7 linked regions of the Macaca mulatta genome follow. The protein of the gene in region 5 interacts with the protein of the main gene of each other region in a pairwise test. Links are inferred from orthologs where the notes say so. Each region holds a gene or a part of one and is shown on either strand. Other genes may lie near its edges.

Region 1 (4,298 bases), on a different chromosome or scaffold from region 5:
GCAATTTTTCCACTTTAACTAAAATAAAAGGGAGAAGTTAAATAGGAAGGTCTAGACACACATAACGTGAAGTGTCATCAATGCAGTCTCAAAGGAGACAACCTAAAAACCATTGGCTTCAATGCAGTCTCAAAGAAGACAACCTAAAAACCATTGGCTTAGGCAATGCTTGCTTCTCTAGCAAATTAAGATGGAAACACACATCCATAGTTGCCTAGAGGTTCCAGGCCAAATGATCTGAGTGCAGCCCTATGAATCACTACAGATGATTTATTCCTGACCCCCAATTTTGGATGCAACTCTGGGAGAGGTGGACACTCCTATCAATGTCTTTCCTGTGTACACTTGAGAACAGAGGTCTATTCCCACACCAAAAGAGGTCTCATCTTGCTATTTTGACAATACCAATCTACTACAGCAGCAGTTCTCAACTAAGGGCAATTTTGTCCCCTTGGGCACATCTGGCAATATAATTTATGGAGACACTTTTGGTTGTCAGAGCAAGGTGGTTTGTTACTGGCATTTGGTTAGTAAAGGCCATAGATGTTGGTAAACATTCTATAACACACAGAAAAGCACCCACACCAAAGAAATATCCAGGCCAAAATGTCAACAGGGCTATCTTCCCTTGCCTGTCAATTTAAGACGTAACATCCACAGGTTGTTGAGGCATTCCACTCCTGTACACATAAAAGGCAAGGCAATGTTAACAGTTTATCTAGAGGATAGTATAGGTTGAAAGAGAGTTATCAAGCTAAAAAAGTTCACATGGCCATTATCGGAAGGGCATATTAAAAATAGGTTAGTAAAAATGCAATAAAAACGGCAAAACAAAGACACATTTCTGGTCAACAACAAAAGAAATAATTTCTAAAAAAAAAAAAAAAAAAAAAAAAGATGCCCACTGTAGTACTTTCAAAAATTTTAGAAGATCAAATGGGAGAAACATTTGAAAAATTAGAAATGAGAATCCTAAGTGGAGGGTAACAAGAAAGAGAAACTAACAGGAATTCTAGAAAGGAAAAAGAAATAGATGAAGAACAAGTATTCACCCGACAGGTAATACAGCAATTTCTCGAACTAAAGAAAAACGAACGTTCAGACAGAAAAGGCTTACTGAATCACCGGCAGAATTTTTGAAAACGACAAACAGAAATATGTGAAAAACAAAACAAACAAACAAAAAAACTGTGAGTGTTCTGTCATTTAGCAGCTAATCTTTTTCTTTTTTTGAAGTTTATCTGGTTGAATCCAATTTCCTTGATATTAATCTAATGATAACATTAGACTACAGAAAACTAATTAGTTACAGAAAATACATTATATTGAGAATATGTAGTGTATATTTTCTCAGATAGTGAACACCATTATAATTATGTAAAATTCCAACCTGTTCCATTTGGCCACATTAACTGCGAAAGCCACTTCTAAGGGAGTTGATGAAGACTATTTTTCAGCCATATCAGATTTCTTACATCAAAATATTCAGCCCACTCACAATGTAGTGGGGGAAGAGTGAATTTCTTCCATTTTATATATTATTTGCTTCCTCTCAACTTAAAATATATTTGAGATGTGAGTACACTTCTATTTGCAGAGCGGAAAAATGACCACTTGAGATGCTAAAAAATCTGCAAGACTCAAATTATTTCCAATGATTAAATACCTTTTAGTTGTTCCACCACATTATTTAGGTATTTTATGAGCTCAAGATCAGTAGTTACAAGCAAGGTGAGTCCGTATTTCTGCACTCGAGTAAAAGTTTCAGATGGATATATGCCACGCTGATATAAAATGCTGTTGATGCCGAATGCTGCAAGCAAAAGAAATGTTACAGAAAATTCATTATCACTGCATAACTCTGGAAAATAAAATATATTTGGATGTGGCTATATTTTCATTAGGCTATACAGCTATAAATGACTGAACACACGTGTATCTTGCTGAAAGCAGAGTAGGTACAAAGTGGCATTAAAAATCCTTAAAAGTCTTGTATCTAAGTAAAAAAAGATAATTGTTTTCACGTGCCAAGGAAAAAAAAAGCCAAAGTGTATCAACCTACTATTGCCAAATTTCACCTCATTGTAATCCAAGTCCAAATTCAGATTATGAGGCTAGAGGATGTCAAAATAGGCTGTTGCATTCGAGTCAGCAACTGACTGAATAGTCACTTTGCTCCAGACAAGCCTGTATCTTCCCCTTTCCCTCCCAAATCCTGCCAGGTTCCTTTACAACGTGCAGCTGGCCTGTTCGAGAACAAGGGTTCCCAAAATCTTGTTTACCGCCAGCCTCATGCCTAATAATCACTTAGAGTGGGAGGGTGAGGGTGCTCTCGCAGTTAAAAAAAACACACACATACACACCCACACTGGGACCCACCCCAGTCACGCTGTGTCCTGTATCGGAAAGTAAGGGGTGGGAGGTGGGACGGATCTGCACTTAAAGGAAGAAACGCTCCGGAAGAGGCTACGCCGCGAGGTAGGCCCCAGCAGCACGCAGGCTTGCAGCTCCACGTTATAGCAACGCGTCAGGAGGAACAGCCTGCAGCCGCCGCTCCCAGATTACTTCTCCGGTCTCAGAGGCCGAGCTGTGGGCCTACTGAGCCGCCACGACTCAGTTCCCCCCAATATAATGGCCGGCGCGAGGACTTACAGAAGAACTCGGCCACGATTTCAGCGCTCCCGCGCAGGGTGATTCCCTGCTCCCGGGAGAGCTGCAGCGCCATGGCCAGGGACACAAACAAAGGCACGCACTTGCACTCGGCGGACAGCAACCACAGCGGCTCCCACAGCACTTCCCCGCCAAGCGTTTCAAAAGTAACGACGCAGCGCGTTGTCCGGTCCTCTGCGCAGGCGCGACGAGCCTCTAAGCCCCGCCCCACGCGGCGGGGCCCTGCCCTTTCTCTCCGCCTTCCTGCGATCTCGCGGGAACGGCCGGTTTGCGCAGGCGGAGTTGGTGGACCTGCTCGCGCTTGCCGGTTGTGACACTCCGGTAGGTTTAGGTTAGGCTGTGTCTTCTGGTCGTGGTTTACTAGTTGGGGCCGAGGGAAGAAGATGTCGATTCCAATTTCAGTAGCCGCTCTCTAGGCTTATGAACTGAAAGACCAAGGAGCACAGTTTCCGAGTTTCAAAGATACTTTCAAACTGAAAGGAACGGTTTGCCAGCTGCGCCCGTACTGGCCCATGTGACCCCTAGTGAAAGATCTAAACTTCCGCTAGATGCTTTGGGAATTCCTAAAGCGACTACGTGCACAGCAGCCAACCCACAGCTTTAGAGGGTTCGCCTTCTGTGTGGGAGCGCGGCTTTTCCCGAGAAATTGGGTTAGGGATTAAAGAGAACTGCATCCTTTTTTCTGCCCTTTGTCCACGTCTGTCCTGGGCTTAGGGCCACCCCTCCGAGGCCAGCGGGGTAGGCAAGTCGGGCGGTAGGGGGCTGCATCCGGAAGTCCAGGCTGCGTTCTGTCCACCCTGCCCACCCTTAGGGGGCAGGACAGGAATAAGGTCACCTCACCAAAGAGGCCCATCAACATTGAAGAATTTTTCAATGAATCTTGACTCACCAAACTCAATGACTTTTCATTGAAAAGGGTGAGAATTATTAAGGACATATTGCACAATTAATGTTCATGTCCATTTTGAAAGAAGTTTATTCTTAAAGCAGCTAGGAAGATATTTGTAAAACGACGCCTGAAAAACTCTCATATCTGCCAGACATTATAAGAGAAATACTTGAGTGTTGTTAGTTTTCCGTTTGCTGCATAACGAATTACCACACATCAGTGACTTCAAAACAACACCTATTCGTTTTCTCAGTCCTGTAGGTCAGAAGTCTGGACGTGGCATTGTTGACTGCTTTGCTCAGTCACACAAGGTTGAAATCGAAGGGTCTGCAAGTGGGATCTCATCTGAGGTTTGGGGTCCTTCTAAGCCCTCTGGCGGAATTTCCTTGGGGTTGTTGGACTGAGGTCCATTTTGTCTCGCCAGCTGTTGGCCAGAGGCCAGCTATGTTTGTCAGCTAGCCCTTCCACAAGCCTTCTCACACTTCCCATCTCTGTGATTTCGGGGAGACCCCAGCCCCTTTTAAAGGCTCACCTGATTAAGTCAGACCCAGTCACATCTCCCTTTTGATGAACCTAGTCCCAGAAGTGATATCTGCTCATATTTGTAGTTTTCCTACCCAGACTCCGGGGAGGGGATTATGTAGGTGTGCTCTCTAGGGGCCAGGAATGTGGGGAACTGGCTTAGAGTTCTGCCTGTACAGTGTTGTATATCATGTTTTGATCAGTTTGAAGAGTAAGG
Region 2 (3,500 bases), on a different chromosome or scaffold from region 5:
CCAAAGGTTTTTAAGAAATATAATCCCATTTTTCAAGTCATCCAGAGCATGAAGAACAGACTCTAAGACAACCCCAAATTATCATTGTCTCCTGGTACATACACCCTTGTGTAACTCCCTATCCCCTTGCATGTGGGCAGGACCTGTGACTACAATACTACATAAAATGTGACAGGTTGTCACTTCGTAAGTATATTACCTAAGACTATAAGGTCTGTCTTACTACGAGACACACTCCCTTGCTGGCTTTGAGGAGGCAAGCAGCCATGTCAGGAAGGCCCAAGAGGCAAGTAACTAAGAGTCTCTGGTGAATAGCCAGAAAAAAATTGAGGACCCAATGAATCTAGACAGATCTTACGCTTTTTGCAAAAATAAACTCAAAATGGTTTACAGACTTAAATGTAAAATGCAAAACTATAAAACTCCCAGAAGATAACATAGGATAAAATCTAGATTATCTTGGATTTGGCAGTGACTTTTAAAATATACCAAAGGTATAATCCATGAAAGAGAAAATTGATAAGCAGGACTTCATTCAAGTTAAAAATCTCTGCTCTGTGAAAGACCCTGTAAGAGAATGAAATGACAAGTCACGGATCAGGAGAGTATATTTGCAAAAGATAGCTCTGAGAAAGGATCAAAGAATACTTCAAACGCAGTAAGGATACAAAGAACACTTAAAACTCAACAATTAAAAAAATTTAAAAATAGACCAAAAACTTCATATACACCTCACCAAAAAAAAAAGGCAAAAAAGCATATGAAAAGATGCTCCACATCGTATGTCATCAGAGACATGGAAATTAAAATGAGATACCACTATACACCTATTAAAATGGCCAAGATCCAGAACATGGACAATACCAACTTCTGGCAAAGATGTGGAGCAACAGGTTCTCACTCATTGCTGCTGGCAATATAAAACGGTACAGCCACTTTGGAAGACAATTTGGCAGTTGCTTACAAAAATAAACATACTCTTACCACATAAGCCAGCAAAAACACTATTTGGTATTTAACCAAAGGAGTTGAAAAATACAGGAGCATGTAAGAGAAACAACTTACCCAGAAAAATATAATAAAAAGTTACTTAACAGATGACAAACATCCTTAATAAGTATAAGAGTATATGTAAGATATAACAATACATTCAAGGACATGCTTAAAGTTATCCACAGGGAGGTCTTTCAAAGGAAATACTAAAGTAGAAATCATAAAGGGAAGAAGTTAAGGATGTGTTATTTGATAAGAATGCTTATCATAGTATTTTAATAACTTGGAAATAAATTATGCTAAAAACAATATAACCATTAAAATATGATTATAGAATAGTTAACTAAAAAATATTTAACAAGATATTCACACCCAGTGGAGCATAGGCTACTCAGGAGGCTGAGGCAGAAGAATGGCTTGAACCCAGGAGTTAGAGACTAGCCTGGGCAACACAAGAAAACCCCATCTCAAAAGAAAGAAAAATACATACCAGATATATGTTGTCAACTCTGACAATAAAACAGTGTGTTATTATCTTACTTTTATACAGAAGACAGAGTGTGTGTGTGTGTGTGCGCGCGCATGTGTGTGTACCCAAAATATCAACAATGGTTATATCTGAGTGATGGAATTATGAGTGCTTTAATTTTCTTCCTTTTGATTTTCAACAATAAACATTATTGAAAACAAAACAAGCTAATAAGACAGTTTCTCATATACTCATAAAAAATAAATATAAAATAATGAAGAAAAGACACTAGAAGCTCCCACAAATGCCTGAAATTATATGTTCAAGAGAAACTAGACTAAGCACTAACCTGATATGTCCAGAAGGCCAGTGCTCGGGAGCTAATGTCCAACACGATCTCTGGTCGCAGTCCTGCCAATACCATAGCTTTATATTCCTCTGATGGACTGAGTTCTGTGCGGACAATATCTAGCTTTCCAGAAAGGGTACTGTTGCAGGCAGGACAGATAGCTGGTGAGCGACTAAACTCACCACTGCCATGCTGATCACAGAAGATGTGAGAGCAGGCAGTGACCCATGCATAGCCAGAGAGTTTGATGCGACACTTTCGATAATTACAAAGCAGCATGTCTTCACACAAAGACATAATAGGATAGTGAGGTCTCCAGAAGCTGAAGAGAGTCCTAATAAGGGGTAAATAAAAAGGCCAAGTAAGTTAAATTGCAATAAAAATAAAATAAATAAGTAAAAAATAAATATAACATGCATGTTTTTATTATAAAATACTGCACATTTTATTATATTCCTTGTATTTAGTATAATTGATATATTGATTTCAGTTACTCAATAATATTAATTGTGCTCCTTGTTTGTCCGGTTTTCTAAAAACACTTTAAGGATAAAGGTAAAGACAAAGGTGGTTACAGATCTTGCTAAAGTCAAAAATAATATATATGTGGGCCATGGGCAGTGGCTCACGCCTGTAATCCCAGCACTTTGGGAGGCCAAGGCAGGCAGGTCAGGAGTTCGAGACCAGCCTGGCCAACATGGGGAAACCCAGTCTCTATTAAAAATACAAAAATTAGCCAGGCGTGGTGGCTCAAGCCTGTAGTCGCAGCTACTAGGGAGGCCGAGGCAGGAGAATCACTTGAATCCGGGAGGCAGAGGTCGCAGTGAACAGAGATCGCGCCACTGCACTCCAGCCTGGGCGACAGAGCAAGAATCTGTCTCAAAACCAATATATAGGCCGGGCGCAGTGGCTCACCCCTGTATAATCCCAGCACTGTGGGAGGCCGAGGCAGACGGATCACGAGGTCAAGAGTTCAACACCAGCCTGACTAACATGGTGAAACCCCGTCTCTACCAAAAATACAAAAATTTAGCCTGGCGTGGTGGCGTGCGCCTATAGTCCCAACTATTTAGGAGGCTAAGGCAGGAGAATCGTTTGAACCCGGGAGGCGGAGGTTGCAGTGAGCCGAGATCGCGCCATTGCACTCCAGCCGGCGACAGAGCGAGACTCCACCTCAGAGAAAAAAAAAAAAAAAAAAAAAAGGTGCCTTGGCCCTCCGGGTCGACAGAAAGGAACACTTGGACACCTTTATCCCAGTAGCCCCGCTCAGTGAGTTTCCTCAGGTATGTCACCTGGCAGCCACGTTAAGAGGCCTATTTTACGTCCGGGGCAGAGGCGAAGCAGAGGAGCTGGGAAGCTTTAAAGCTGAGCCCTCGCTCAGGCAAGAGAGGCGCAGCTAATTCGAATCTTCCACCAGTTGGGAGTAAGCGCCTATCTAATGGCTGTACAAGCTGCGTGAGGGCCAAGTTTTAGAGAAACAGCCCCACAGAAATTACAGTCTGGAATTTTCAGTCAGCTTTCCGCGCTCAGTAGAGAAAATAATAATAACAAATGATACTTAATCTGAGGCTGAAAGAAAAAGCGCGGAAAAACTCCGTTGCCTCCACAGCTCCACAAGCGAAGATTCCAGGATTCTCTGCGCGAGTGCTCCAGGGAACTACACCAGAGCGCGCGTGCGTAGGGTTGCCC
Region 3 (3,500 bases), on a different chromosome or scaffold from region 5:
TAAAATAATCATGTCATCATCCAAGAAAAGGACAAAGAAAAATCACCATTCCCTTAACTAAACGTTTAGCATAAACTGCTACTTGTTTTCAGAGAGCGACTACTAATTCTATGTCAAGAGAAGAGCCATAAGCACCAGTGAGGCACCCGTCATTCCGGGAGGCTTCTCTCCCTATCATCTGGATTCACTCCCCTCACATCATACTGTTTTCTCTTTTTTTCTTTTTTGAGACAGAGTCTTGCTCTGTCGCCCAGGCTGGAGTGCAGTGGCACAATCACAGCTCAATGCAACCTCCATCTCCCGGGTTCAAGCAATCCTCCTGCCTCAGCCTCCCAAGTAGCTGGAATTATAAGCACCCGTCATATTTTTGTATTTTTAGTAGAGACAGGGTTTCACCATCTTGGCTGGGCTGGTCTCGAACTTCTGACTTCGTGATCCACCCGGCTCGGCCTCCCAAAGTGCTGGGATTACAGACATGAGCCACCGCACCCGGCCCATCATACTGTTTTCTTATTGCTAGACACAAAGTAAGTGGGTTCATGTTCTCCTCCTGTATTACCGTGTTTCTTTGGGAGATCCACAGTGAATTTGTGCAGGACTTCTCTTGTGTTTCCTTGGAGTGTGCCAAAAAGTGCACCACTACCATCTATTACAATGAATCCAAACTTGCTATCATCTGAAAGTAGTGCTGTAAGAGCCTGAAAAGCAAACACAAGTACCACATGGTGAATCCCAAAGCTTTGCTAAGGTCAAAAAAACTCTGAGAAAGGACATATACAAGCCCTTTCACTCCACTCACCATGTTATTAGCACTGTGGAAAAACCATTCTATGGAATAATTTATAGACTTCAGTTATAATCATGTAACTCTTATGGACAAATCTGAACCCAATAAGGAAATAACGGATGGTATCTATGTGAAGCTTTTCAACATATTTGACATGGGCATGTAAATATAAAAGCACAAAGATATCTGTATGCCCATGTTTATAGCAATATTACACACAGCAGTTAATACTACTCAATCTCAAAAAGAAAGAAAAATTTGAAACATGCTACAATAGGGATGAAACTTGAATACATGCTAAGTGAAATAACCCTGTCAAAAAAAGGACAAATACTGCATGATTCCACTTATATGAGGTACCCGGCGTAATCAAAATCAGAGACAAAAAGTCAAATGGTGGTTGCCAGGGGCTGGAAAAAAGGGGGAACAAGGAATTACTGCTCAACGGATATAGTTTCAGTTTTGTAATACAGAGTTCTGAGCTGGGTGTGGTGGCTCACACATGTAATCCCAGCACTTTGGGAGGCTGAGCTCAGGAGTTTGAGACTGGCCTGGGCAACACAGCAAAACACTGTCTCTACAAAAAAAAAAAACAAAAATTAGGTGGCCGTGGTGACACGTGCCTACCAGCTACTTGGAATGGCTTCAGTCAGGGAGGTGTAGGTTGACAGTGAGCCAAGACTGTGCCACTGTACTCCAGCCTGGGTGATAGATCCAGAGACCCTGTTTCAAAATACAAAAAAACTTTAACTTGTTCCTTTTTTTCTTTTTTTTGAGACGGTCTCACTTTGGTGGCCAGGGTGGAGTGCAGTGGCCATGATAGCTCACTGCAGCCTCGAAGTCTTGGACTCAAATGATCCTTCTGTCTTAGCCTCCCAAAGTGCTGGCGTTACAGGCATGAGCCAGCATGCCTTTAAAGGTAGTACAGCTAGTGATTCAGAGTTTTATGAGGAAAACCTTCCTTATATGTTAACTTTATATCCCCATTATTTATGCCTTCCCAAAGAGAAAATATTGAAACAGTCCTGGGACATACATAGATAAGAGTTCTCACAATGGAATTGGAATACTACACACTTAGTAGATCTCTAACTGCCAGAGGACAATCTCTTTGGAAGTAAGAAACTGTTACCCATTCCGTTTTATTTTTATAAACTGATCCTCCTGTTTGGCCTCCCAAAGTGCTGGGATTACATGGGTGTGAGCCACAAAACCTGGCCTTACCATTCCATTTTAGGAAAACAGCCCCTTCAATAACTGACTAGAAAGCAGATGGATCAACTAAAAATCCATCTTTAACAAAACCATGCTAGATAGTTAGCATTAAGATATGAATATTGTGGCTGGGAGTGGCGGCTCATCCCTGCAATGGCACTCTGAGAGGCCAAGGTGGGTGGATCACTTGAGGTCAGGAGTTTCAGACCAGCCTAGCCAACATAGTGAAATCTTGTCTACTAAAAATACAAAAATTAGCTGGGCGTGGTGGTGCACACTTGTAATCCCAGCTAGTCTGGAGGCTGAGGCAGGAGAATCACTTGAATTCAGGAGGTGGAAGGTGCAAGGAGCCGAGATCGTGCCACTGTACTCCAGCCTGGGCAACAGAGCAAAAATCAATCTCAGAAAAAAAAAGAGAAAAAAATAGGCCTTGAATATGAATATTGCACATTAATAATACAGCCTTATCAAAATGACCTGTTAGGTAGATTGAAGTTTTCAATAAATCTGCTTATCAGGGAACAGGCTTATCCCTTATTAGAATATATAATTACCCTGATAAACGGGATATAACCCTCTCAGTTAAAGCTAAAATGTACAAAGTTAGCAAGATTAAACAGTATCTTAGAAAAGGAGTTAAGGTTTGGAAAAAAGCCAATAAGGCTAACTCAGTAAGTGAGCAAAAGCCAGACAACATGGGTACCTGGCACTGTTTAAATCAACAAGATTCAAAATCTGCTTTCATCCAACCAGATACAGGTAAGTGGTTTCAGTGGCTAAGAGGCTCCCTGAAGAACCATCTGCTGTAAGTACAGTGTGGTAGTGAAGAGAAAAACAGTCTGGATTGTCTATGTAGTCGACCAAGATCCAACTATAAATGGACTTCCCATCAAGTTAGCAAAAATCATCTATTGTAAACTGTCGACAAATGTCAGTTCTAATTCCACTGTAGAGGTTTTTCCTAGGTTGATGAAAGGCAAGAGACTGAACTAGGAGCCAGCTGTGAATTCGTGATTGTTCTACTGTTGACTGATTTAGGTCACTCTAATGAGGTTTCCTTTCCACCGTTCAAGTTCATCTTATGGCAGCTTTGTCACTCAAAAGTTTCATGGGGAAAGGGAGAAAATGAGTTCTTACAGTTTTGCTACTAAAAAGTTTACAATTTGTTATGTGAAAACTGAGTGCAATAACTCAAAGAGTATAACTGGACTGCTTGTAACACAATGGACACACACTCGAGGAAATGGGTACTCTATTTTCCATAGTGTGATAGCTCACATCGCATGCCTGTATCAAAACATCTCATGTACCCCACATACACCTACTATGTACCCACAAAAATTAAAAAAAAAAAAATACACACACACACACACACACACACACACACACACTTTGGGAGGCTGAAGCGAGCAGATCACTTGAGGCCAGGAGTTTGGGACAAGCCTGGCCAACATGGCAAAACTCTGTCTCCACTAAAAAAATACAAAAAATTAGCCAA
Region 4 (4,300 bases), on a different chromosome or scaffold from region 5:
ACTCTGTCATCCAGGCTGGAGTGCAGTGGCATGATTACAGATCACTGTATCTTCAACTTCCCCAGCTCAAGCAATCCTTTGACTTCTGCCTCCTGGGCTGCTGGGACTACAGGCACACACCACTAAGCCCAGCTACTTTTTGTATTTTTTTGTAGAGATGGGGTCTCGCTATGTTGACGAGGCTGGTCTTGAGCTCCTGGGCTCAAGTGATCCGCCCACCTTGGCCTCCCAAAGTTCTGGGATTACAGGCATAAGCCACTGTGCCTGGCCTCCTTTCTACTTTTAATAACATAGGGGACCTGAGAAAGTACAACTGTACCACGTAAGTACAAAATATTACAGAGACACAGTCTACATCTGACAAACAGACTCGCAATTTCTTCCAAACTTCTGATCTACGTTTCCAATTATTTGTTTGACAACCATAGATGTCACAGAGACTCCTCAAATGCTTCAATACGAAACAAAACATTTGTCCCTCCAATCCTATTATTCTTGCTGTAGTTCCCATCTTGTTTTTTCTGTTTTATACAGCTGTCTTCTTACCAGTTATCAGCTAAGCTGGTAATGTTATAAATGCCTCAGATCTATATCTCTCTCATTGCCAATTTTACAGCCTTAATTTAGGCTTTTACCTCTCACTTCTGCAAGACTGTTTAAATTGGGGTCCTTGGCCCATATCTCTCTGCTTTTCAATTTGTCTTTCGTGCTTTCACCAAAGCATCTCAGGTTTGGAAGGGGCTTTCATCTCCATTAACAAGAAACTTTACTTTCCGAAGTAGCTCAGTCCATGTACAGAAAGCTGCTATGAACATTCCTAAAAGACATTCACTGACTTGCTCATAAATCTTCCATGGGTCCCCTATTACAAAACAAAGTTCAAATTTAGCATGGTGTGTAATACCTTCAACCTGATCTTAGCCTACTTTTCCAGTCTTTTCTCTCACTGTGACCAAAATCCAAAGCCAGCAACACCAAGCCGCTGGCTCACCCCCAATTCTCCACATCCCCCAGTTTCAGTGCCCTTGCTCATACTGTTCTCTCAATTTGCAGTGCCCTCTCCTAGGTCCAAAGTAATTTTTCTCTCAACTATTCTGTCACAGTCCTTTGTTTTCATATTAATGATAGCATTTATTATAGTCTACCTTTAAATAACAGCTGTTGCTGGCTTGCCCTCACCCTTACTCCAGTTAGGCTGAACATTTTCAAAGCAGGAGTTTTCTTTTTCTTTTTTCTGGAGACAGGATCTCGTTGTGTCACTCAGAGTGGAGTGCAGTGGCATGATCTCAGCTAACTACAGCCTCCACCTCCCTGGATCAAGCAATCCTCCCACCTGAGCCTCCAGAGTAGCTGGGACTACAGGTATGCACCACCACCATCATGCCTGGGTAATTTTTGTGTTTTTGTTTTTGTCAAGACAGGGTTTCATCACGTTGCCCAGACTGGTGCTGAACTCCTGAGCTCAAGCAATCCACTTGCCTTAGCCTCCCAAAGTACTGGCATTACAGGCATGAGCCACCACACCTGGCTGTTTTCTTTTTCCTCTTTTTAACTTCTACCCCAGAGCCTAATCCAGTACATAAAGTGTGAAGGCTAAATTAGAAAATCTACATAAAAATGCTCTGTAAACCATACTACACTCACAAGTAAGTAGAATATGACATGTTATTTTAAATTTAATGGAATTAGACTCCTTATTTTTGTTCAAGATTATCTTGATTAGTCAGAACTGGCTCCCTTGCCTGGGAGACCAACTGCGAATCGTTTTAGTACTTTGGTCGGTTTTCTTTTCAAAAACCTGAAAGAAACAACCTCTCTGTGGGCAGAGAAAGGGTGTGGCAAAGAATTACTATGGGCATGTAATCCAAAGCAAAGTGAACCTGCAGTCCTTTCATAACTACAGTAGCAAATGATAAAAACCAAGATGGGAAGAGTTACTCTGCCTGAAAGAAGACACATGGTTAAAAACTGTGGAGAGGGAAGTGTATGGGAGGGGTTACAGAGCGCTAGAAAAAGACTCCTGAGAGTGAGGGTGGGTGCAAACATGCAGCAGGCAACCCGCGGCATCTGTGGGAGGGTGACAGGGCCCTGCCACAACTGGTCAATGCCTGCTCGCCAAGAATGCGCTGTGCCAAAACTCCTGCTTAGAGTCGCAGAGCGGGCCATGACCTAAACTTGTCCAGGGACACATCGGCCTCTAACACTGCAAGTTTTCCTCTTTCAAGCAAACCTCAATTCTCGGTCTTATTAAGGGAATGTGACTTCACTGGATGCAGTATAAAGATCTTCAGATGTCCTCCTGCCAGGGATTGCAGGGATCACAGAAAGACTACCGAGGTCCAGCAGCTACCTGCAAGCGGAGATCCCTCTGGACACCCCCTGCCTCACCCAGCAAAGCCGCATCACAACCCCGCGCTCTCAAACCTCTAAAAGGGCTTGAGGTGCTAAGAGGAAAGGAAGCCCAAGATTGCCACGGCTTACGTGGGCTCCAAGGAGGGCCAGGAGTCACTGCCTGCTTGGGCTAAGGGTACCGCGTACGGAAAGGCGGCGGGGGCGCGGCCCAGTCCCAGGAGATGCGCCCAACGAAGAAGCGGAGGGACACGGTCACGGGATAGGGCAGACACCCGGCTGCTTTTTGTTTGCTAGACACCAGCGCCAGCCCCTGCCCGGCCCTCCCGGTCTCCTAAGCGGGGTCTTAGGCTCTACAGCGCCCCCGACCGCCCTCCTGCGCTCCTCACCGTCTCCATTGCAAGAGGCGCCGGCTTGGTTTTCTCGCTTTAGGAAACTCTCTTGGGGAAGGCCACGCCCCACATCCGGTGCGGCGACGCCACTTCCGCCCACGTCACGGCAGTCGCCAGACTACGGCGGAAGGCGTGGAACCCACCCTTCCGGCGGTGGCGGGCCTCGGTAACCGCCCTCCCCCGGGTCCTCTCGGACCGCACGGATCCGGCTGACGGCGAGGGTCACGGGACGGAGCCGCTTGTATTTAAAATGTTCTTTTTTTATTTGTCGTTTAAAAACAAACTTGGAAGAAGCAAAATCCAAAACTTGCCCTTTGCCTCTCGCAACATAAATTATGTACAGTTCAGAATGATCGCTGATACAAAACATGCCAAGGACAGGGGCGCTGAGGGTGGAGGGAGAGAGGGCGCTTTAAAAAAGGGAACCATTTCATCCGTTGTTACGAAGGACCAACCTTGCTGTACAGGATACACACAACACAAAATAAAGTCTTCACGGGATTCACACTTGTCAGCGATTTATTTTTTAAAAAGGGGGAGGGTCCTGGAGGTGAGGGGAGAAGACTGTAAAGGGGAAAACTGAAAATTGAGTATGTGCGAGTGTAAACCAACCCAAAATACAAACACGGGGGGGTGGGGGATTCTGATGCAATTATACAGGCAGGGTACTTAAAAAAAAACCAACCAAAATTCCAACCTTGTAGCTTGGGTCTGAGTTATAGTTTATATAAAAATTAAAAACTGTATAAGGTTTCTTCACTAAATTCTACAGGACTATCGGATACCTAGCATATGCTTACAAAGTCTGCCCCATCCCCTTTTCCCAATCCCAGGGCCCAAGCCCCAAACACAGCCTGACTCACGGGAGCCAATCTCCCCCTCCCTGTAGCCTAGACCTATTGCTCTCCGAAAAGGAACATCAAGGGCTGTGGCTTTGAGGGCTGCAGCCCAGTCTTCCTGCTGTCTGATTTAATTACAGCGGTTCCTGTGGGAGTGGGGGGTGTTATTCTCTTAAACATTTGCAGCTTGAAACAGTTGAGGAAGCAGCTTTAAAAAAAAAAAAAAAAAAAAAATCTCCCTACCCCCAACAATCCACAACTCCCCAAATTCAAAACAAAACAAAAACAAACCTAAAATCACAACAGCCACCAAGCTCCCCCTCCAGCAGGCCCGCCCGTCCACCACCACCAAGCCCACCCCTACACTCCAGACATCGGATTCTTGAAAATATTAATTACAAAATGCCCTTTGCCCACAGCCCCTAGAAGAGAACTGCATATAAGCTTCATCTTCATCCCCACGGTTCCCTACCAGAGAGGGGTTTGGGGTGTCACCCACCCCTTACCTACCCCCACCCCCAGGAAGAGGTTAAACTGCAGCACAAGCTTGGGCAGAAAGGGGAAGGAAAGGGAGGCAAGGAACCCATCACCCTCTGGCTCCCCCTGGGGTCAGCTCTCTTTTGTGCGTTATAACATAGTCCAACTATACAACAGGGGGTGGGAATTGCCCAGCCTCTATACCCCCATCTTACAGCAGTCACAGCCAGGGGGTGGGGAGTG
Region 5 (3,500 bases):
ACCTGGACTGTTTTTGCTTTTGAGACAGGCTCTGTCACCTAGGCTGGAGTGCACGATCATAGCTCACTGCAGCCTTGAACTCCTGGGCTCAAACGATCTTCCCACCTCAGCTTCCTGAGTCGCTGGGGATACAGGTGTGTGCCACCATGCACAGCCAATTTTCATATTTTTATGGTAGAGACTGGGTTTCACCACATTGGCCAGGCTGGTCTAGAACTCCTGACCTCAAGTGGTCCACTCCCCTCACCTTCCAAAGTGCTGGAATTATAGGCATGAGCCACTGCACCCAGGGCTGGTCTTAAAATCTTTTTTTTTTTTTTGAGATGGAGTCTCGCTCTGTCGCCCAGGCTGGAGTGCAGTGGCGCAATCTCTGCTCACCGCAAGCTCCGCCTCCCAGGTTTACACCATTCTCCTGCCTCAGTCTCCCGAGTAGCTGGAGTAGCTGGGACTACAGGCGCCCACCACTACGCCCAGCTAATTTTTTGTTTTTTAGTAGAGGCGGGGCGTCACCAAAGTGCTGGGATTATAGGCATGAGCCACTGTGCCAGGGCTTTTTTTTTTTTTGAGACAGAGTCTCGCTCTGTCACCCAGGCTGGAGTGCAATGGTGCAATCTCGGCTCACTGCAACCTCCACCTCCCCGGTTCAAGCGATTCTCCTGTCTCAGCCTCTCAAGTAGCAGGGACTATGCCACCACATATGCCACCACATCTGGCTAGTTTTTTTTTTTGTTTTTTTTTTTTTTTTTTTTTTTTGAGACAGAGTCTTGCTCTGTCGCCCAGGCTGGAGCGCAGTGGCCGGATCTCGGCTCACTGCAAGCTCCGCCTCCCAGGTTTACGCCATTCTCCTGCCTCAGCCTCCCGAGTAGCTGGGACTACAGGCGCCCGCCACCTCGCCCGGCTAGTTTTTTGTATTTTTTAGTAGAGACGGGGTTTCACTGTGTTAGCCAGGATGGTCTCGATCTCCTGACCTCGTGATCCGCCCATCTCGGCCTCCCAAAGTGCTGGGATTACAGGCTTGAGCCACCGCGCCTGGCCTTTTTTTTGTATTTTTAATAGAGATGGGATTTCAACACATTGGGTCAGGCTGGTCTCAAACTCCTGACCTCAGGTGATCCACCCGCCTCAGCCTCCCAAAGTGCTGGGATTACAGGCATGAGCCACCGGGCCCTGCCCTCTCTTATCAATTTCTATAGATAATTTCCTTCAGAGAAACGAAAATGAAACCAAAAATGGTAAAGACATTGCGTGGACCAAAGAAAACATGACTAAGGTTCAGGCTTACAGCTTGCAACCTGTAATGGGTGTCCAATAAACATTTGCTGACTGTCCGAAAGGCTGGGCTGCCCCAGGATTTGGCTGCTTTTCACTGCACTCTGTCCCCACCTTTGACCCCAGAGAAACTAGGGAGCCCAGAGACACATGAAGACCTCACCTTCCCCAGCTGTTCACCAGTGTCCCCACATGCGTAGACAAGGAACTCAGAACCCCAGTTGTTTTTTAATTTTTTTTTTTTTTTTTTTTGAAACTGAGTCTCGCTCTGTCGCGCAGGCTGGAGTGCAGTGGCTTGATCTCGGCTCACTGCAACCTCCGCCTCTCGGGTTCAAGTGATTCTCCTGCCTCAGCCTCCTGAGCAGCTGGGACTACAGGCGCGCACCACCAGGCCTGGCGAATTTTTATATTTTTAGTAGAGATGGGTTTTCTCTATGTTGGCCAGGCTGGTCTTGAACTCCTTACCTCAGCTGATCCACCCACCTCAGCCTCCCAAAATGCTGGGATTACAGGCGTGAGCCACCACGGCTGGCCTCAGTTTTTTTTTTTGTTTTTTTTTAGACTGAGTTTCGCTCTCGTTGCCCAGGCTGGAGTGCAACGGTGCGATCTTGGCTCACAGCAACCTCCGCCTCCTGGGTTCAAGTGATTCTCCTGCCTCAGCCTCCTGACTAGCTGACATTACAGGCATGCACCACCATACCCGGCTAATTTTTTTGTATTTGTAGTAGAGACGGGGTTTCTCCATGTTGGTCAGTCTGGTCTCAAACTCCCATTCTCAGGTGATCCGCCCGCCTCGGCCTCCCAAAGTGCTGGGATTACAGGCTTGAGCCACCGCGCCCGGCCCCCAGTTGTTTTTTATTTATTTGTTTGTTTGTTTAGAGACAGGGTCTCATTATGTTGCCCGGGTTGGTCTTGAACTTTTGGCTTCAAGCAATCCCCCCACCTAGGCCCCCCAAACTGTGGGGACTACACCACCGTGCCCAGCCCAGAACCTCCTTTTCCTCCAGGTTCCTGCCTTCACATCTCAAGGGGAAACAGTGATGAGCACTCATCCATCCCTGGTCCTTCTCCTGACACTGCCCCCAGCCCCACCTCCCCGCTCACCTCCCCGAAATGCATGTAGATATACTCCCGGGCACGCTGGTGCAACTCCACACAGCCAATCTGCTCGGCGAAGTTGGCGATGCCGATGGCATTGCTGGGGTCCAGCTGCTGCACTAGGAAGTCACTGCAGGCACGGACAACGCTGTCGATCTGGTACATGACAGCGCCGTTCATGACGTGAAGGACACACTTCTCGCCCATGGAGATGGAGGCCGTGTAGGCGAATTCGATGAGGCGTTCCATGACCTTGGGGTGGATACCCTCAATGGACACCACCTCCATGCCCTGCTCCCGCAGCCCATTGGTGAACATGGCCTTGAAGACGGGGCTGGATGAGGCTAGCACCACCTTGTGGGCCATGAACTGGGCGGCAGGCGCGTCCTGGTACTTGACCTGCAGTGTGACGTCACACAGCTGCTGGCTGAGCCGCAACTCGTTCATGATGCCGAACGCCTGTTTGGTATGATCCTCCAGGGTATAGCTGAAGGTGCGGTTGCCATGCTGGGAGGGCGTCACCTCCGCCTTGCACTCAGTGGAGGCATACATCACCGCGTCCCCTGACCCCTCAGGGCACTGTGACCGCAGGGGCAGGAATCGGCTGCAGGCCCCAGCCCTGCTAGGCTTGGGATCTGGCTGCATGGGGTTCCAGAAGATAAGCAACACCACCACCTCTGGCACTCAGGGGCCTGGAGGGGAGAGAGCACAGGGCAGGGGGCACGGGTTGGGGTTGGGCCAGCACCTGCAGGGTCTCCTTTTGTAAGATAAAGCAATTCCTAGGTCAGTTTTCCTGCAGAGTAGGTGAAGCAGAGTGCATTTGCAAATTTGCAAACATCTCCCTGACCTGACCAGCCCAAGAGCCCATCTTAAAACATAGATGAGGTCATGTCTCTCCCCTGCTCTGGATCCTCCAACGCCTCCCACAGTACCTAGTAAAACTGAACTCCTCAACAGCCTGCAAAGCCCTACGCAATTAGCCCCTGCCACCTCTTCCCTTTGATCACTCTGTTTCAGTAATCTGGTGGCCTTTCCCTTTCTAGAGCATGTCGGGCTCATTCCTTCATTCGCCTCACCATTTGTTGGGCACCTACTGTATGCCAGGCACTGATCTGGGTGCTGAAGACACAGCA
Region 6 (4,169 bases), about 2.0 Mb from region 5:
ATGGGATTACAGGCATGCGCCACCATGCCCTGCTAATTTTGTATTTTTAGTAGAGACAGGGTTTCTCCATGTTGGTCAGGCTGGTGTTGAACTCCCAACCTCAGGTGATCCGCCCGCCTTAGCCTCCCAAAGTGCTGGGATTACAGACATGAGCCACCCCACCTGGCCCAATTCCCTCTTCTGTATTCTCCAGCTCCTCCTCCTCAGTACTCAGTCCCACCACTTTCCCCACTACCCAGCACCATCATCTAGACTGCTCTGGTCTCCCTGCACCCCCACAGCCACCAGAGGGAGCACTTTTCAAAGTACAGTTGATCCATGAACAACAGGGTTTGAACTGAAGCAGTCCACTTATATGTGGATTTTCTTCTGCCTCTATCAGCCCTGAGACACCAAGACCAACCCCTCCTCCTCCTTCTCCTCCGCCTTCTCAATGTGAAGATCTTTATGATGATCTCTTCACTTCCACTTAATGAATAGAAAATATATTATTTCGGCCGGGCGCGGTGGCTCACGCCTGTAAATCCAGCACTTTAGGAGGCCGAGGCAGGCGGATCACAAGGTCAAGAGATGGAGACCCTCCTGGCCAACATGGTGAAACCCCGTCTCTACTAAAAATACAAAAATTAGCCAGGCGTGGTGGCGTATGCCTGTAGTCCCAGCTACTCAGGAGGCTGAGGCAGGATAATTGCCTGAACCCGGGAGCTGGAGGTTGCAGTGAGCCAAGATCACGTCGCTGTACTCCAGCCTGGCGACACAGACTCTATCTTAAAAAAAAAAAAAAAAAAAAAAAAAAAAAAAATTTCCTTATGATTATTTTTTTAAATTTGTTTTGTTTATTTATTTTTGAGACGAAGTCTCGCTCTGATGCCCAGGCTGGAGTGTAGCGGTGCAATCTTGGCTCACAGCAAGCTCTGCCTCCCGGGTTCACGCCATTCTCCTGCCTCAGCATCCCAAGTAGCTGGGACTACAGGCACCTGCCACTACGCCCAGCTAATTTTTTGAATTTTTAGTAGAGACAGGGTTTCAGCGTGTTAGCCAGAATGGTCTCGATCTCCTGACCTCAGGATCCGCCTGCCTCAGCCTCCCAAAGTGCTGGGATTACAGGCGTGAGCCACCACACCCGGTCTATTTTTATTTAACTTTTTAAATCGTTTCATTTTATCTTTTTTTTTTTTTTGAGACGGAGTCTCACTCTGTTGCCCAGGCTGGAGTGCAGTGGCACAATCTCGGCTCATTGCAACCTCCAACTCCCGGGTTCAGGTGATTCTCCTGCCTCAGCCTCCCAAGTAGCTGGGATTACAGGCTCCCATCACCACACCCGGCTAATTTTTTTATTTTTAGTAGAGACGGGATTTCACTATGTTGGCCAGGCTGGTCTCAAACTCCTGACCTCAAGTGATCTGCCCTCCTCGGCCTCCAAAAGTGCTGGGATTATAGGTGTGAGCCACCATGCCCGGCTTGATTATTATTTTATTTTTTAGACAGTCTCACTTTCACCCAGCATGGAGTGCAGTGGTCCCTCAAACTCTTGGGCTCAAGTGATCCTTCCACCTCAGCCTCCCAAGTAGCTGAGACTACAGCTGTGTGCCACTGTGCCCAGCTGAGAGTAGGTTTTAATCTGAGCATGGGGGCAGCTATGATTCCCAGTAGCACCTCGGCTGAGACCAGGTCCTGGCTCCACTCACCCTGTCAGGACCTCGTGGTCTGACACCTTCACACTGGACACGCCATCTCTGGCCTCATCCAGCGTTTGCACTGGCTCAGGCCTCCGTGAGCGGCAATCCCAACAGCGGATACTGGAATCAATAGAGCCTGTGAGGCCAGCATGATGGTGAGGTCAGGTTTGGAGGGGAAGGGCAGCATCCTGGACCCCCCTGCGTAGGTCCCAGACTCACCGGACAGGATAACTGTGGCCTCTTCATTAAACTGCACCGTGTTCACCTTCTGAGAAAGTTATTGCCACTCAGAGGAGGCTGGACTTTGGAGGACTGGGATAAAGGCAGGGTTCCCAGTGTCGGTTAAAGCAAGGGCAAAGGTTAGAAGGGGAGGTGAAAGGTTTTGGGGGAACAGCAAGGACAGGGGTTGGTGACTGCCTAGCCTGGCATGCGGAGCGGGGGATCGTCATCTGGGGAAGGGATCCTTACGGTGTAATGGGGGTGGCTTCATCACCACCTGTGCGCTAATACGGGTCCCCTCCGCTCGAATGAGGGTCTCCAGGCTTTCACTCACCCCTGCATGGCCCCGGAATTTGCGCACGACCTGTCCTGATGCCACATCCCACAGAACCACCGCCTTGTCCCCGCCGCCGGAGCAGAGACTGCTGTTGTCAAAGGAGCTGGAGTAAAGGAGGAGGAAGATCAGCATCGACCTCGGATCCCAGCCTCAGCGCTCCCATCCCAGCCTGGCCCCCGGCTCACCCGGCCGCATCCAGCACCTCGTAGCCGTGGCCGCTGTACGTCCGCAGCAGCGTCCCCCGAAGCGGGTTCCATAGCTTCAGGGTCTTGTCACTGCCGCACGTCAGGCAGTAATTGCCATCCACTGGGGAACACCAGGCGGGGGTTACTGGGCCGCCGACCTCAGGAGGCGGGAGGAGGACCCGGAATGAATACTAAGGCGCTCACCATTAAATCGTACGGCTCGCACCGCCCCTTGCCCGCAGTCCAGCGTCTTCAACCGTTTCTGCGGCAGCTCCGGAGGCCGCGGCTTTGGCTCAGGGAAAGCCATAGTCCCAGGACCCCTTCCTCGCCGCCTTAAATCGATCTGTATGGAAGATTCCGCGCCTTCGAAACCCACGCTTGGGTGTAACCTTATTATTGTTCTTCCTGAACTACTTCCTGTTTATCACTTCCGGGTTCATCATTTTGGCATTTGGGTGCTCTTGTTGGAACTATTGAAGCCCGATTTCAGGTTCTTTTCCCCATTTCCCCTTTGCAAGGAAGGCTTCTGGATTCTCCTAAATTTCCGATCTCTGGGTAGGAGGAGTCCAAGTCTCTGTCATGAGGAACGGAAATGTGAGGGCCTCGGGTGTGACTCTAAAATCCGCCCTCAGCTTGCACGCCGGAAGCTGCAATTTCTGCAGCGGAAGAGGCGTGACCTGGCCTTCGAGTCGCTATGTCTACTAACAATATGTCGGACCCACGGAGGCCGAACAAAGTGCTTAGGTGAGGACGCCAGCGTCGTGGCCACGGGTTCGGGTTGGGGGTGTGGATCGGGGCCCTGGGAAGCGTCTGTCTATCCCGGGGACAGGACCTGAGCGCCCCTGACCCTCGAGCCTGTCGCAGGTACAAGCCCCCGCCCAGCGAATGTAACCCGGCCTTGGACGACCCGACGCCGGACTACATGAACCTGCTGGGCATGATCTTCAGCATGTGCGGCCTCATGCTTAAGGTGGGCGGGATTGAGCTTCTGTGGGTGTAGTTGGACCTGAGAACGAGGCCCGGGGGCGGGTTTGGAATGAAGCCGGGCGTCTTGTCATTGCTGATGAGGCAGGACCTGAGATCGGCCGGGAGTGGGGCTGGGATGACGCTGGGCCAAGAAAGCCCCAGTCTTTGGTGAAGTCAAGAATTCGGGTCAGGGCGGGGATGTGGCAGATTGGTCTGCGGGTGGGGCCAGGCTTTGAAGCAACTTGGAGGGGACTCGTGGAAAGGGGCAGGGTCTTAAGCATGTGGGATGTCAGAGTCTTGGCCCTGAGAGACGCAGTCCAGGCAGTAGGACTAGAAACCATGTATCTGGAGTATGCCATGAGCAGGTGGGACTGAGGAGTTCCGGGGGGCAAGGTCCCAGCTGCATCAGATGGAATCAGTGGGCATGAACTGGTGTCTGGAAAGGTGGCTTCGGGACTCATTGTTGTGCCTTTCACTGACCTGCCCACCCACCTACCTTTCCCCAGCTGAAGTGGTGTGCTTGGGTCGCTGTCTACTGCTCCTTCATCAGCTTTGCCAACTCTCGGAGCTCGGAGGACACGAAGCAAATGATGAGTAGCTTCATGTGAGACTTGGCCGAGAGAACGAGTGACTCTTGAGTAAGGGGTGGGGGGACTCCAGCCTGCCCATCCTGGACTGACACCTCTCTCCTGTCTCAGGCTGTCCATCTCTGCCGTGGTGATGTCCTATCTGCAGAATCCTCAGCCCATGACGCCCCCGTGGTGATATCAGCCTAGAAAGGTC
Region 7 (4,264 bases), on a different chromosome or scaffold from region 5:
TTCAGGAGAGATGGAGTTTCACCATGTTGGCCAGGCTTGTCTTGAACTCCTGACCTCAAGTGATCCGCACACCCCGGGTTCCCAAACTGCTAGGATTACAGGTGTGAGCCACCATGCCCAGCCAGAAGTATTTCTTTAATCAGTGACAGTGATTATTTTTCCTATCTATACTTACTCAGATATTCAGGGATTAGCTCCTCACAGTTATCCATGATGAAAACTCTGCGTACATACAATTTGATGTTGTTCTTTTTCTTTCTGTTTTCAAACAGGTCAAAAGGAGCACGTCGTGGGACAAATAGAAGGGCTCTGAATTCCAACTGCCCTTCAACTGAAAAATGCTGTAATAGAACAAACACACTAAGTATCAATGAACAATGCATTATAGCAGATATTTGGGGTGGTGGGATGATAATCTAAAGACAAGCTTGAAGCATCCATCAGTCCCTCACTCACCTTCACTGCCAAGTGATCTTCCCAGTCATTGGTCAAGCTCTTGTAGAATTCTCCATACTCCTCATTAGTAATATCGTCGGGATTTCTGGTCCAGATGGGCTTTGTTTTGTTGAGTTCTTCTTGATCGATGTACTTCTCCTTAATCTTCTTTTTCTTCTTCTTGTCACCATCCTTCTTTTCTTCTTCTTCCTCATCAGAACCAACATCTTCAATTTCAGGTTTGTCTTCAGACTCTTTCTCTTCTTTTTCTTTTTCTTCTTCTTTGTCTTCTTTTTCTTCAGCCTCATCATCGCTGACTTCTTTATCACGTTCCTTCTCCACCTTCAAAAGACATGAAATCGCATCACTGCTGCACTCTAGAACTAAGTCATAGCGCTGCCCCACTACTTTCAACCTAAGGCCAAAGCCTAAATTACCGAGGATGAGAAGCAGCCAGGCAGCTTCTCATCAATATTTGATATATCTACTTAATAACCCGAGGAACCTTCACAGTTAGTAGAGCTTAGGTTCCCCAGGCTTCAAACTAGTTCAACAGACCTAGGAACTAAGGATGTAGTACAGTCACCCCAGTCACCTACAGACAGTAATTCACTCTGCAATTATGTAGAAACTTACAAAAAGAGTAATGGGATATCCAATAAACTGAGAATGTTTCTTCACAATCTCCTTTATTCTTCGTTCCTCCAAGTACTCAGTTTGGTCTTCTTTCAGGTGTAGGATAACCTTTGTTCCACGACCCATAGGTTCACCTGCAAGAGAAATAAGGAAAATTGACTCAATAATACATTCAATTTAGTGCTCAACGCCATGCTTAACCCTTATAACGTGTCTATGAAGCGAGGTTTGCCCTTACTACAGATGCAAAGGCTCCCACAGCAGATCTAAGTGCCTTGCCCAAAAGAAGTAATCACCAAGTCATGCCATTACACACTAATTCAGAGCTCTAGCTTGTTCCTGATCCTTGGGTAAACACACTTTCTGTGAACTTCGCCGCATCCCCAGGGGTCCAAGGGTTGCAACACCCCACCATTCCGCCACTGACTTAACCAGTGAGTGTTCAGGTACCTACCTGTGTCTGTCCTCACTGTAAATGATCCCCCTGCTGAGGACTCCCAGGCGTACTGCTCATCATCGTTATGTTTGGTGATCACAGTTACTTTCTCAGCAACCAAATAAGCAGAATAAAAACCAACACCGAACTGGCCAATCATGGAGATATCTGCACCAGCCTGCAAAGCTTCCATGAACGCTTTGGTCCCAGACTTGGCGATAGTACCAAGGTTATTGATCAAGTCAGCCTTGGTCATCCCAATTCCAGTATCCACAATAGTGAGGGTTCGATCTTGTTTATTTGGTATCAGGTTAATATGCAGCTCTTTCCCAGAGTCTAATTTACTGGGATCCGTCAAGCTCTCATAGCGGATTTTGTCCAATGCCTATTAACACAAAATATTAATTAAGCATACAGCCCCCAAGAAGTTCATATTGAAACCAAAATCCTATTCTGGGTTAATAAACGACTTACATCTGATGAATTTGAAATTAGCTCTCTTAGAAAGATCTCTTTGTTCGAATAAAAAGTATTGATAATCAATGACATCAACTGGGCAATTTCTGCCTGAAAGGCGAACGTCTCAACCTCCTCCTCCTCCATCGGTTGGTCCTGGGTCTGCGTTTCCTCAGGCATCTGGAACGACACCGCGCCGGTTTAAAACCCTGCAGGGCGTCTACAGGGGCAACACGAGATTCCATCGCGTCCTCCCAATATTTTTAAAGCCGGATTGCAGATTTGCGAAGTTTAAGTAAACCGAAAATAGAAGGGCGGCTGACAAAGGATGACCTCATTTCGGAGCGCGGTAACTACCACGAGCGTGTGCGCGCTTCCGGGAGGCCACTGCAGGCCCGGCCCAGTCCCGCGCCGCGGTCCCCAACCGACACCCCGTGTGCCCTCCCGCGCGGGCCGCGGCTCCGCCAGGGCGGCCTCCTCCGCCTGCGCCCCAGCTGGGCCGCCCGGGGGGCCCCCAGCCAAAGGGCCGCTCTGCTCGCGTGCGGCGCCAGCTCCGGGGCTGCCGCGGAGACTCGGGGAGCAGCCGCCCAGCCCATTCCTGAGGCGGGCTGCGGAGACAGCAGCGGGCCCACGGCCTCCGGAATAGGCAGCGCGGCCTCCCGGGAGAGCGGCCCTGGCGGGTTCAGGGCTCCCGTTCGGCCCCCACAGCCTCCGCTCCGCGCCAACCGCCCCCACTCCCCAATCCACCTCCACAGGCCCCCACAACCGCCCCTCACACCTTGGCTAAAAGGCTGCAAACGTTCCACGGCACAGCAGCACCAAGACGCTGAAGCAACTGACGCGCCGCCCCCGCGCCTGCCTTATATAGCGACGGGCCCGCCCAGCGCGCGGCGCTTTTTCCAGAAGCCTCCCGAACCTTCCGGAAGAACCCTCCCCAACCGCCGCCGCGGCCGCGCGCCTGCGCCTGCGCCCTCGCCGTGGCCCGCCCCTCCCGCTGGCGCGCGCAGGCCCTGCTCATGGCCCAGCCCGGGAAACCTTCCCTCAATCACCGCCCCGCGCCTCTCGCACGCCCCCGCGCCGACCTCAATGCGCCTGCGCGGCCTGGAATTCTCGGGAAGGTCCGGGCGCCTTCTGGGGCCGCCCGCGCCCTCCTCCCTGCACTCCCACCTGCCGAGCGCGGGCGGAGGGCACGCCCGGGCGTGGGGGCCTTTGAAGTGAGGTGTAGTTTGGTCACCCGGGCTGCGCAGAATGCGGGGCTGGGGCGGGAGGCGCGCCTGGAGGGAGGGCCGTGCGTGGACGGGGAGCGCCCCGGGTCTCGCACGCCCGGGAGACTACCGGAGCCGTCATCCTCACGGACGGCGCGCCCGCTGCCAAAAAATCCAGCCGCAGGCGGCGCCGGGATCGCGGGGCTCTGCTCCCTGGGGGCCTTTGGGCTGTTGGCTTCTAGCTGCTGCGCGCAGGGGACGCCGTCCCGCGGCCTGCGCGCTCGGGGAGTCTCCAGACCCACTGCTGGCTCAGGAGCGCTCCCTACCTTTGGGTTCCCCGGAAGCCATGTCCTTCACACTTCAGGGTCCCTTAGCTTGGGAATCGGGCCCTTGGTGAATAAATTCATGCTTACCCAGCTACACCCGGCATGCTTTTTAAAAGCCCATCGTTTTGCCGATCGATTTGAGGTCTCCAAATTAAGTATCTAACACTTGACATTTTGGTGATTAACCTTCCCTAAAAGACAGGTTTGGTGTTTTTTTGTTTTTGGACAGGCTGTCCCTCTGTCGCCCAGGCTGGGGTGCTGTGGCACAATCTTGGCTCACCGCAGCTTCGACCTCCCGGGCTCAGGTGATCCTCCTACTTCAGCTTTCCGAGTAACTGGGACGAGCGCGGGCGGAGGACCACAAGCGCGGACACCACACCCGGCTAGTTTTTGTATTTATTTGTATAGTTGGGGTTTCACCATGTTGCTCAGGCTGGAAGAACCAGTTTCTACATGAGAATTTTCAGATATTTTGGTCAAGGCCAGCTATGAGAACCTTAGAGGTGTTGGGGTTCCTTAGACTTGGCTCCCATGCCTCGTCCATGTCCTCTTCCTCTCTGGCGCCTCCCATGATTGGGCCTCCTCCTGCCTAAACTCATAGCCAGGTCCTCGGAATAATCTGGAAGCTCCTTACCGTGTAAACAAACGACGGAACTACCTCCGCTTCCTGGTCTCTAGGGAAACCAACTTACTCAGGAGCAGGGGTTTTCAGACTGCGGCCTGGGACCCTTTAAGAGTGTGTGAAATCAACATAAAGCGTCTTGCCCAGC

The links.
Region 1: the proteins of KEAP1 (region 5) and MAD2L1 interact in binary tests that used the Homo sapiens proteins (3 or more experiments, as listed by UniProt). The two-hybrid records come from large-scale screens. The link is inferred for Macaca mulatta from reciprocal best matches to the Homo sapiens genes KEAP1 and MAD2L1.
Region 2: the proteins of KEAP1 (region 5) and CCNB1IP1 interact in binary tests that used the Homo sapiens proteins (3 or more experiments, as listed by UniProt). The two-hybrid records come from large-scale screens. The link is inferred for Macaca mulatta from reciprocal best matches to the Homo sapiens genes KEAP1 and CCNB1IP1.
Region 3: the proteins of KEAP1 (region 5) and ETF1 interact in binary tests that used the Homo sapiens proteins (3 or more experiments, as listed by UniProt). The two-hybrid records come from large-scale screens. The link is inferred for Macaca mulatta from reciprocal best matches to the Homo sapiens genes KEAP1 and ETF1.
Region 4: the proteins of KEAP1 (region 5) and PRKAG1 interact in binary tests that used the Homo sapiens proteins (3 or more experiments, as listed by UniProt). The two-hybrid records come from large-scale screens. The link is inferred for Macaca mulatta from reciprocal best matches to the Homo sapiens genes KEAP1 and PRKAG1.
Region 6: the proteins of KEAP1 (region 5) and WDR83 interact in binary tests that used the Homo sapiens proteins (3 or more experiments, as listed by UniProt). The two-hybrid records come from large-scale screens. The link is inferred for Macaca mulatta from reciprocal best matches to the Homo sapiens genes KEAP1 and WDR83.
Region 7: the proteins of KEAP1 (region 5) and HSP90AA1 interact in a two-hybrid assay, tested with the Homo sapiens proteins (2 studies listed by BioGRID). The link is inferred for Macaca mulatta from reciprocal best matches to the Homo sapiens genes KEAP1 and HSP90AA1.

Annotation. Positions count from the first base shown.
Region 1 is NC_133410.1:128,906,774-128,911,071, forward strand, and holds the start of MAD2L1 (mitotic spindle assembly checkpoint protein MAD2A), read right to left. Parts: upstream 2,801-4,298; 5' UTR 2,726-2,800; coding exon 2,653-2,725; intron 1,814-2,652; coding exon 1,667-1,813; intron 1-1,666. UniProt on the Homo sapiens protein: Component of the spindle-assembly checkpoint that prevents the onset of anaphase until all chromosomes are properly aligned at the metaphase plate.
Region 2 is NC_133412.1:93,119,324-93,122,823, forward strand, and holds part of CCNB1IP1 (E3 ubiquitin-protein ligase CCNB1IP1), read right to left. Parts: coding exon 3,370-3,500; intron 2,146-3,369; coding exon 1,812-2,145; intron 1-1,811. UniProt on the Homo sapiens protein: Ubiquitin E3 ligase that acts as a limiting factor for crossing-over during meiosis: required during zygonema to limit the colocalization of RNF212 with MutS-gamma-associated recombination sites and thereby establish early differentiation of crossover and non-crossover sites.
Region 3 is NC_133411.1:147,383,511-147,387,010, forward strand, and holds part of ETF1 (eukaryotic peptide chain release factor subunit 1), read right to left. Parts: intron 699-3,500; coding exon 560-698; coding exon of another isoform or gene 525-559; intron 1-524. UniProt on the Homo sapiens protein: Component of the eRF1-eRF3-GTP ternary complex, a ternary complex that mediates translation termination in response to the termination codons. The eRF1-eRF3-GTP complex binds to a stop codon in the ribosomal A-site.
Region 4 is NC_133416.1:56,182,775-56,187,074, forward strand, and holds the start of PRKAG1 (5'-AMP-activated protein kinase subunit gamma-1), read right to left. Parts: upstream 2,801-4,300; 5' UTR 2,748-2,800; coding exon 2,739-2,747; exon of another isoform or gene 2,253-2,738; intron 1,363-2,252; exon of another isoform or gene 1,243-1,362; intron 1-1,242. UniProt on the Homo sapiens protein: AMP/ATP-binding subunit of AMP-activated protein kinase (AMPK), an energy sensor protein kinase that plays a key role in regulating cellular energy metabolism.
Region 5 is NC_133424.1:11,220,694-11,224,193, forward strand, and holds part of KEAP1 (kelch-like ECH-associated protein 1), read right to left. Parts: exon of another isoform or gene 3,060-3,500; 5' UTR 3,013-3,059; coding exon 2,374-3,012; exon of another isoform or gene 2,206-2,373; intron 1-2,205. UniProt on the Homo sapiens protein: Substrate-specific adapter of a BCR (BTB-CUL3-RBX1) E3 ubiquitin ligase complex that regulates the response to oxidative stress by targeting NFE2L2/NRF2 for ubiquitination.
Region 6 is NC_133424.1:13,219,518-13,223,686, reverse strand, and holds the start of WDR83 (WD repeat domain-containing protein 83), read right to left. Parts: upstream 2,801-4,169; 5' UTR 2,728-2,800; coding exon 2,625-2,727; intron 2,542-2,624; coding exon 2,421-2,541; intron 2,339-2,420; coding exon 2,233-2,338; intron 1,948-2,232; coding exon 1,899-1,947; exon of another isoform or gene 1,898-1,898; intron 1,816-1,897; coding exon 1,689-1,815; intron 1-1,688. Other genes in the region: WDR83OS (PAT complex subunit Asterix), read left to right, coding at 3,115-3,164, 3,285-3,390, 3,893-3,990, 4,085-4,151. UniProt on the Homo sapiens protein: Molecular scaffold protein for various multimeric protein complexes. Acts as a module in the assembly of a multicomponent scaffold for the ERK pathway, linking ERK responses to specific agonists.
Region 7 is NC_133412.1:175,437,709-175,441,972, forward strand, and holds the start of HSP90AA1 (heat shock protein HSP 90-alpha), read right to left. Parts: upstream 2,801-4,264; 5' UTR 2,742-2,800; intron 2,144-2,741; coding exon 1,982-2,143; intron 1,893-1,981; coding exon 1,526-1,892; intron 1,206-1,525; coding exon 1,072-1,205; intron 778-1,071; coding exon 457-777; intron 342-456; coding exon 176-341; intron 1-175. UniProt on the Homo sapiens protein: Molecular chaperone that promotes the maturation, structural maintenance and proper regulation of specific target proteins involved for instance in cell cycle control and signal transduction.